Linked DNA regions of Schizosaccharomyces pombe. Changing the gene in region 1 together with any one later gene gives a genetic interaction. Each region holds a gene or a part of one and is shown in the gene's direction. Other genes may lie near its edges. The genes, in order: cog8 and sly1.

Region 1 (5,004 bases):
GGCCAGAAAAGGAAACCTCATTTTTTTGTATAGTATTCCTGCAATACAAGTTTAATAGTTTTTAGTAATATCGTATTCTCTTCTTCTGTGCCAACAGTGATACGCAATGCTCCTTCGCAAAGAGGCTCTGTACCTCTAAATCTAACAACGACTTTGTGCATCGTGGCCATTTGTAAATAAAGATATTTTGCGGCATCGTTACTAGGCTTACCTCCTTCTGGTCTATCTAAAACCTGAATGAGGATAAAATTTGCATCATAACCACCTATAATCTTGCCCATTCCTTTAATGGTAGTAAGCTCTTTGCAAAGACGAACTCTTTGCTGTATAATAGCATCTCTATATGTATGCATTTTATCAATCGACTGAGGGGATAAAGCATCCAAAGCTAAACGAGAGGTGGGTTCGCTAATGTTATAAGGAGCCTTTAATGAGTTCATAATGGTAGCAATAGGTTTACTTGTCAAACAAAATCCGATACTAAACATCATAGTTAGTAAAGAAATAATATTAATGCTTAAAAGCTTAGATTAACTTACCGAATTCCTGCTAGACCGAAAGATTTCGAAAGGGTTTGGCAAACAGCAAGGTTTGGATATTCATTGACAAGAGTTAAGGCAGACATATCGGGAGCAGAGAAATCAATATAGGCCTCATCGACGACAACGATTCCATTCCATGTAGGGTGCTCCAAAATCTTCTTAATATCCTCGAGTTTAAGAGCCTTAGCTGTTGGATTACCAGGGGAACAAGCAAAAAAGACTTTGATGGCACTATCTTTAGAAAGTGTTTCGCAAATAGCATCGACGTTCAAATTGAAATCTGGTTCAAGGAGAACCTTAACAACCTCAACATCGTTGATTTTTGCAGAGACCGTATACATTCCGTACGAAGGTGGACACATCAAAATCTTATCTTTTCCAGGAATACAAGAAATGCGAATTAAGGAGTCAATAATTTCATCGCTGCCAACACCCATGCAAATGTTATCTGGTGTTAGTGGCTTGGTAATGGAAAGCTCTTTGTTTCTCAAATCACATAATCTTTGCTTTACTTCGATCTGTCTAGGATCCGGATAACGATTGAATTCCACACCGTCCACGGAAATAACCGAACCATAAGCACATTCATTGGCATCAAGAAGGACACCTCTATTAAGATTAGCAAAAAATATATAGGCGAGAAAAGGGTAAAAAACAACAAAGGCCTGAAATCGCCAGCTCCAACAACAACAGTAAACAGGGAGTACTTCATTGCTTTCCAAGCAGCTAATAAAATATCTTTCTAGAAGTAGCCCTCATATCAATTATTACCCAAATATAAAGATAAAACATACTCAGAGAAGTCACTATATTCTATGTTAATATATATCACGCTTTCTAGTTTATCAAGTTATTACATACTCTCTCGCACAGCGATAAGGCTGAAGTTCTAAGATATTTTTACGAAGACAAGTATTCAAATCAAACATCGTATCTCTTTCGATGTGTTTTTGTTAAAGTAAGAAGAAAGCGATCGATGAGATTAATTAATAATTAACCTAAGATGCAGGTGATATCTATAAATATATAGTGTGTAGCAATGTGAGTCTTTAATTCATTACAACGTGTATCACCGTGTCATTATATCCAATAAATTCAGAAACCTGAAGAGGAAAGAGAAATAAAGCTCCATATGTCTTTCATTTCCAAATACAATTATAAGTGCAATAGTAAAGAAAACGTTGAAAGCTTGATAAAAATTTCGTTACTATACTAATGCTGTAAAGAAAATGCACCATTGTTTACAGTTCGCTGAAATTAAAACACATATTTACTAGACTTTTGCCGTCCGAGAAATAGATATTTGTTACTTAAATTCATAATTCATTACATTTTATGAGGTTGTTTCAATTGCTACATGCTTTTTATCTAGCTATTTTATTTTCACTATACAGGCTGCATAGATGAGGCAGTTCAATCCAGTCTTATTCACAATCTATTTCATTACCTAGGATAACCATTTTGGATTCATAACTTTTTGGCCTACGATTTATGTAAAAGTTAAATAAATTAAATTGTCGCAGCGCTTTTGCTTTATTTTATTCAAAGAAAATGCGAATACTATTGCTCAACCTTTTTTAATTAAATATTGTTTAAATCCTTTAAACAAAACGATCGGAAAATCTAGCCAGTGTTCCAAGATGAAGATGCAAGTTTCTACTCGAGAATGGATCCTTACATTAAGGCTGGTGCTTTCCAACCCTTACTACACATAAGGTACTTATATTCGTAACGCATTCATCCAAACGTGTAGCTCTTTTAGATTCTATTAGTTTCTTTTTTTTAGAAGATAGTTGTGAATGATTTTTTTACGCGTTTTCACTAAGAATTGTTTTGCTGTACAACCTGACTTGAAAGCTTAAAGATCTTGAAGACATGGATAGTATAGGGGATAATGTAACGGAAATGGATGCTTTTGTTCGAGATCTTACTATGAAACCGTATGCAGAACTGGAGAAACGAAAAGCCGAATTGCATGCTCAAAAATTAAAATTGGTGCAAAAACGCCAGCAACTGTTACGAGACAATTACAATGTATTAGTCGATTATGCTAGGAATCAAGATGCCTTTTATCAACTTCTCGAGAACAGTAGACACGATTTTAAAGAGCTTGTTTTACATACAAATCAGCTATATGAACCTGTCAAGAGAAGCCAAAACTTTCTAACTTCAATTTCAGAGCATTACAGAGATGCAAAACTAATGCATCAAGTTCAGCCGCAATTAAGTAGTATACTGGAATTACCAGAGTTGATGAACGCTTGTATCGAAAGGAATTACTTTTCCGAAACGTTGGAATTTCAAGCACTTGCGTATCGATTAAAAGATCGATTTGGTACAAACTCTATCATTCAAGAACTAATTACTCAAGTTGAAACGCTGGTGGTTAAACTTACTGAGAAACTTATTTTACAGCTACAGAAGCCATTAAAGCTTTACTCATTAATCAAAGTAGTGACCTATCTCCGGGTAACTGCAAAACTGTCCGAAGCCCAATTGAAATACGTTTTTCTTTATTTTTCATGGAAACAACTACAAACAAGCCTTCGAAATTTAGTGCCATTGCTTGACTACAATAATCCTGAGTTGTACTTACGGAGATATATACAGGTCATTCGTGATCGCGCATTTTCTCTCCTTTTTCAATATCAAAGTGTATTCGGTGAGTCATCAAATGATCGTTTAAACGCTGCAGGTACAGTAGATATACCTAATTCCACCAGCACTTCAGCGTCACCTTTTGAAATGGATCCCGAAGGCTTCAATAACTTTGGTCAAAATATTCTTTCGTCCTTCGTTCGTAAACTACAACTTGAAATTTGCTATGTCTTACAAAAATTTATGCCCAATGTTAAAGATTCTACTTCCAAATTCTCACTACTCCTTCAGCTTTATTATTGCAATCAAAGCTTAACGAAAGTGGGAACAGACATTTCTATACCACTCTCCAAAATACTTGGTAGCGAATGGTTAGAAATGATCCATTCTCAATCTTCTGAGAAACAGGCGTAGATATATTTTTTCCTAAAAAAAAAAAAACAAATAATTAATTGTTCTTATTACTCATTTTAAGGGTAAGTGCTAAGCCAAAAACTTACTATCCAATAGGTGTAAACAGTAATGATTGATAAGGATGTTTGTTAAACATCTAGTTAAGAGATTAGCATGTGAGAGGGAATTTAACTATATGAAACTTCAAATATAAATTTCGTCAAATTATTACTGCGTGACTTCTCGTAAAACTAATTCGTCCGTAAGGCCAAGATTTTTTATACAATGGACATATCTGTCAAAATTTACTTTCCGTAAATATTTGAGCATCCTTTGACGTTGATGAACATAGTATCGAAGCATCCTTTTTCCAGTTTGATCTTTTTTATGATTCTTGCAATGATCGCTTAACGCTAAAATTCGACTTGTGTAGACAGCAGCTTGTACTTCAGGACTTCCAGTATCTCGCTCATTTCTAGCAAAGGATTCTACAGCAAGCTGTTTATTATTCAACCTTAAGGTCTTAGAATTCGAATTTTCAATATTAAATATACGGTGAATGCTCTCTTTTCTAAGATCGCTTAATTGACTCATCCTTTCTAACCTTTCAGCAAGTGGATGAAGTCGCTCGAATCCATCTTGATTTGATTCCAAAGATGTATCACTAGAAGGAAATTCGTTAACCTCATTAAGCTTTATAAAATCTTTAGTTTCTTCTGTAGCCGAGGCCCTAATCTTTTCAAATTTCTCTACAATAAGATTGATTGTTTCCATTGATGCAGGAAATTTTATACTACGTATAGGAAAATTTGGTTTCTTTCTTTCCACCAATATTTCGTACGGCTTTAATAATCTCGCTATCCATTCACTCGAATGTCCGATGATAGGGTCAGCTAATGTATCCAAATTTTGCTTTCGCAGCTCTTCCCTTCTTTTCAAATTTTGTTTGCGACGTTGGTTGGCTTTTTGTTTTTTTAAACCTTGTAAAATGCATGTTGTATGAAACTGAGACTTTTTGTTTAATAAAAGGCATTGTTGCATCAAGTTTGTAGACGCCAATTTCCAAGGCTGAAAAGCCCCTTCAAAAAGTCTCATCTTAAATTAACTGAGTAATGTAAAATAAAATGAAAAGTCGTGCTACAATTCGCTCCCTGAGTAAGCTATTAAACACATGCCCTTTTTACAAAGTCGTTGGTTCTGGTGTATGCTTGAAGTATGGGTAAGTGAACTGGGTAAAAAATAATATTAATAAATTGAATGTTAAACGTTATGAAGAAGAAATAAAATTTTCAAATAAAAATTTTAATACTAAATTTAATACTTAATGAGGAAATAATAATCATTATATACCAAAAGATGCGAAAAGGCTTTCCTTTAAAGATTGTAGTTCTTCCAAAGCTCTCAAATGCATTTGTTCATATGCATAAAATAACTGTATAGCTTGTGACCCTTCCTTCCAATTATCAATTAA
Region 2 (5,103 bases), on another chromosome or scaffold:
TTATCCCCTTTACAGCCGTTCCCTCTTTTCCTTTCAACTGCAATGTTCCGAACTATCCTCAAACATCCGACCACGAAAACGACTAGTTCCAATACTCGCGAAGTAACTTTTGTTCATCAGCAAGTCAGTATGTTTCCATTTATTTTTGCTTATTCTCAATTCTACGGGTATTCACTCAGCATGCAAATTTAGTTTGTAACAGAGACTCCCAAAAACTTAACACTAACTCCTCTGAAAAAAACTTGAAAATTGTCCAAACCTAACTAAACATTGCCTTAAAAAAATCTAAAATTCCAAAAAAAATTGAAAAAGAAAAAATTCAGAAAAAAAACTCTTTTTATTCTTGACTCTAATTAAACCTTATTACTGAAAGTTTTTGATTTATCGTTTTTACACGTTTTGATTGTTTCCCACCCAAATTTGAAATTTTTTTGCTTTGTCACATTACTACTCTTCCGTGATTTCCAATGTCTTCTTTTAAATTATGTAATTTTTTGTCTTTAAAGAAAAATTACCTTCAACCTTCTGAGCAGAGTTTTATTCATTCAATGTGTCAATTAGTTTTTCAAACCATTCTTCTATCACTAAGAGAAGCCGGTCTGTGAACTTTTACTTTTCTTACCTATTAAAGATTACTTACTTCTTGCTGATGAATTCATGAACCCTTCTCGATCCGTTACTTCATGGGTAGTTTGTTCATTTACCATTATCCATTTTTTACTATTACCACAATATTTTCCCATTTGCTACTGTTTCCGTTGATGCCGGTTTTAAGCTAACCCACCAGCCAATTTTGCATTTTTCCAGCTTGCTATCATTAAACCAACTATTCTCACTTATACACATTATCATTGTACTATCCACTGACGAATTCTTTACTATTTCTCCCGTTTGATTACAGCTCAGCTTTCCAGAATCATTGTTATTGTTCCTCGTCATGATCACTATTATCCTTTGTTCACAACCAATTAATTGACTATCTTCATTCTATCATTCCATCGACCCCATCACCAGTTCGTTTACCATTTGCTTTCTTGATAGCATTCAGCTTGATCACACTAATTTTATTTTTTTCTTGAGCTTCCATATTTATCGCTTATTCTTGCTTTTACTATTCTAGGATTAACGTACTCACCATTTTCTTTTCTTTCAAAGCTCAATTATTGACGTTACTCCCAACACTTTGCTTACTACCGTTTTTTGTTATCATAATCGTTCTGTCATTTCATTTTGTCATCACTATCCTTGTCCTTATTCCGTTTTTTTTGAGATTTTTGTTTTATCATTATCATTATTCGAGTCCGACACCTTCTTTGTCATATTTTCGGTTTACTTTGCCCAATTCCTTCCATCAATACATTGTTTAATTATATTTTCCATCCATCATTGCTGTTAATTAATTACTATTACGATGATTAGGTCTACGGTATCATTATCATCATAATGATCAATGAATAATTTCATATTTTGTTTAATTCAGTCTAAAAAAATAAACGAAGACATGCCTTCTACTTATTTGATCCCATGAGCAACTTTAGCCATCGTATATGATCCTAGACACTTAGAATATGCAAATCATTAATGGCTAAATTCATAATTAAGAGCTTTTTGCGTTTGGATACTCTTTTAATAATTGTATCTTTATAAGTAAATAGTAAAGTAAGAACACCTCTTAGAAATATATGTAATGTAAGCACAGTTAGAAAGCTGAGATTAAATCTTAGAAAAGTAAACTACTGAACGCAAGATTGATTTCCTTCCTACGCTTTGAATGTTTCCGGTGCACTAGTACTGTTTTTTTAAATATCTAAAAATTTAATGAAAATCAGAAATCTTTAGTAAAGATTGAAGACTACAAGATTTGGTAAAACAGCCAAACCTCAATATTTATTTTGTTGTTTACCTTTTTGAACATTTAGCGAGACTCGCTTCACTGCCATACACCACCATATGAAGGGTATGATTCTTATGTTTATCCCTCAACACAAATCATCCTTCTAAGTGCTTATATTAGTGCCAAAGTTGGAATTGGCACGATGTCTATTGCATCTGTAAAAACACCGTCTTCTTTGAGAGAAGCTCAAATTCGTAAGTAGTGTTGCTAATAAAACTGTATAATTCTCAGTAAGCATTGCTAATATGAACCTTTAGAATCTTTAGAAAAACTGCTTAATTTGAACCAAGACGTCAACGAACTTGAATCAAGCCCTCAACATGCCTCTAATTTTCCCATTTGGAAAGTTTTAATCTTCGATAAGGCAGGGTCGGAGACTATTTCTTCTGTTCTCAGAATTAGTGATCTCAGAAAACATGGCGTTACGGTTCACATGAATATCACTTCGTTTCGTCAGCCTATTGCTGATGTCCCAGCTATTTACTTTGTTCAACCTACTCAAGAAAACATTGAGCTAATAATAGAGGTATGGATTTCTCAGTATCATAATTTTCAATCAATTAATCTTATTGTCGGATACCAAATACTTTTTTGTATTACAGTTCAGCAAGCTAACATATTTTAAAGGATCTTTCGAAGGGTCTTTACGAATCAGCCTATGTCTGTTTTTCATCTACCATTTCTCGTGCTCTTCTGGAACAGTTTGCCGAATTGGCGTCGAAAACAAATACAAGTCACATGATTCATCAAGTGTATGACCAGTATCTTAATTATGTTGTGTTAGAAAGTGATTTTTTTTCTCTTCAACTGCCCAAAATCTTTCATACGTTCCATAACCCGTCTTCAGATGAGGCTCTCATTAATTCACGCGTTCAGGATATTGTAAATGGTCTCTTTTCAGTGATCGTTACACTCGGAACCATTCCTATCATTCGTTGCCCACAAGGATCGGCTGCTGAGATGGTTGCCCAAAAGTTGAATCAACGTCTAAAGGACCATTTAATGAATACCAAGGATGCTTTTGTTTCTGTTAATCCAAAACCAAGGCCAATTCTTATTTTACTGGATAGAACGGTCGATTTGATTCCAATGATAAATCATTCTTGGACTTACCAAGCTTTGATTCATGATACCCTAAATATGCAACTCAATAGGATTACCGTAGAGTCAGTCGATGATGGAAAAATGACAAAGCGGTTTTACGATTTAGATGGAAATGATTTTTTCTGGGAAAGTAATGCTAGCAAACCATTTCCTAAAGTTGCCGAAAACATTGATGAAGAGTTGACTCGATATAAAAATGATGCTAGTGAAATTACCCGAAAATCCGGTGTTTCTTCACTTGAAGAAGTTAATGTTGACGCATTTGCTGATTCGACTTATTTAAAAAGTGCAGTTAGCTTGCTCCCAGAGCTTACAGCTCGTAAACAAATCCTTGACATGCATATGAATATAGCAACTGCATTATTAAAAGCTATTCAAGAGCGCCATTTAGATGACTTTTTTCAGTTAGAAGATAATATAACTGGACTAAACAGAAGTGCCATTCTCGCTTGCATCAATAACAAGGAACAAGGAACTCCCGAAGACAAGCTACGATTTTTTATAATTTGGTATTTAAGTGTTGATTCCGTACCGGCTTCTGATTTGCAGGCATATGAAGAGGCGTTGGTTAACAATGGCTGTACATTAGAAGCATTAAATTTTGTTAAGAGGTATACTGATTGATGTTATTGGTTTTTTCTAACTTATATTAGGGTTCGTGAAATAACTAAAATGACCATGTTAGCATCTTCTACCACAAGACCAGCTACGGGTCAAACAGGAGATAATTTATTTCGTGGATTTAGCAGTCTTTCCACAAGGGTAAGAATAGTTTGACACTTTTTCACCTTAAAGCACATATTAATTGTTTTTAGTTTACCGACCGCTTTAAAGAAGCCGGTATTGGTGGCCTTGAAAATATTATTTCGGGGGTTAGAAATCTGATTCCCTTCAGGAAGGATGGGACTATTACATCTATTGTTCAGAGTCTAATGGACCCTGGCTCTTCTCCTGCCTCCAAACAAACAGAGTCTTATCTATTATTAGATCCCAAATCAGCTCGTGCTATTACTGTAAACAATGATCCTAGGGCCATGAACAAAAGACAGACTTTTAGTGAAGCAATTGTTTGCGTACTAGGAGGTGGTAATTATTTAGAATATGGTAATCTGGCTGATTGGGCGCGTGAACAAAATCCTAAGAAGCGTATCATATACGGTAGTACCGACATATTATCGCCATCTGAATTTATGGAAGAAATGGCTTCTCTATCTTAAAAAATTATTTAGTTTTATTTTTTGGCCATCATGTTTGTTCAGCCAATATTGTATGAAATAAATGATTTACTCTTAATTTGATACATGACTTTTTTGTCGAATTTGTGTAGTCCATCATCGTATTGAAAATTTGGAAAGCATCAATGTTCATTATACGCAAATCGCGGTTATTTGTAAACGACATATACTTTCAGACCAAGAGCTGAGGGAACAGAAAAAAGAAAATGTAATTGCTGTTCTAAAACTCAAACAAAAAAAAAAAAAAAAAAATTAACAAAAAAAAATTTCAAAAACATATAATTCATAAGATTCTCAGTTATAACTTAAGTTAGACATGGCTTAAAATATGTAAGTTGTGAAAATCTTCAGTTTATATAGCATTCGAGTAATTTGGTATCGAAAGAGATGGATTTTGTAAAACGTTTGATGAAGCATCTGATATAGAAGATGACAAATTAGAAAAAATTGAACTTAATTGCGAATTCGAAGTAGCTGAGTATGCATTCGTGTTATTTTCAGAAACTTGCTGCACTAAACCATTAAATCCCAATTCAGTTGTTGCTTGAGTGTCAGACGAGACTAGCTTGATGTGAGCAGGAGGACGAGAATCATCGAATTCTCGAATAACAGGCAAATCCAAAATAATGTTAAAAGTGGAGATATCCTTACTTTCATTCTTCTCACGTTCTATTTCGCTAGTGGCTTCCGGGGTCAAATTCCGTTCATTCCCTCCACATTTGTATCCACGAGGATGGATTTCATCTTTAGAAATTTCAAATTTTATAGGAACTGGTTTGTACCAAATAATTTCGTTTTCTACATCGTCTTCAACGTGGCTACCAAACGCTACACGAGCTTCCTGTCTGTCCATATCCCTAGCATTTCCAT

What was found.
Region 2: of cog8 (region 1) and sly1, a mutation in one rescues a mutant of the other (synthetic rescue), as found in Schizosaccharomyces pombe (one large-scale study listed by BioGRID).

Annotation. Positions count from the first base shown.
Region 1 is NC_003423.3:1,488,194-1,493,197, forward strand, and holds cog8 (COG complex subunit Cog8), read left to right. Parts: upstream 1-2,246; 5' UTR 2,247-2,417; coding exon 2,418-3,554; 3' UTR 3,555-3,761; downstream 3,762-5,004. Other genes in the region: bifunctional histidinol-phosphate aminotransferase/imidazole acetol phosphate transaminase His3, read right to left, coding at 18-480, 540-1,151, 1,337-1,348, 1,404-1,471; mrps28 (mitochondrial 37S ribosomal protein uS15m), read right to left, coding at 3,762-4,628; random septum position protein, DNAJ domain protein Rsp1, read right to left, coding at 4,876-5,004. UniProt on the Schizosaccharomyces pombe protein: Required for normal Golgi function.
Region 2 is NC_003421.2:1,921,161-1,926,263, forward strand, and holds sly1 (SNARE-binding protein Sly1), read left to right. Parts: upstream 1-1,999; 5' UTR 2,000-2,036; coding exon 2,037-2,088; intron 2,089-2,151; coding exon 2,152-2,420; intron 2,421-2,521; coding exon 2,522-3,609; exon of another isoform or gene 3,610-3,651; coding exon 3,652-3,760; exon of another isoform or gene 3,761-3,813; coding exon 3,814-4,215; 3' UTR 4,216-4,313; downstream 4,314-5,103. Other genes in the region: mug24 (rrm type RNA-binding protein), read left to right, coding at 1-86; ppn1 (cleavage and polyadenylation specificity factor complex-associated protein), read right to left, coding at 4,586-5,103.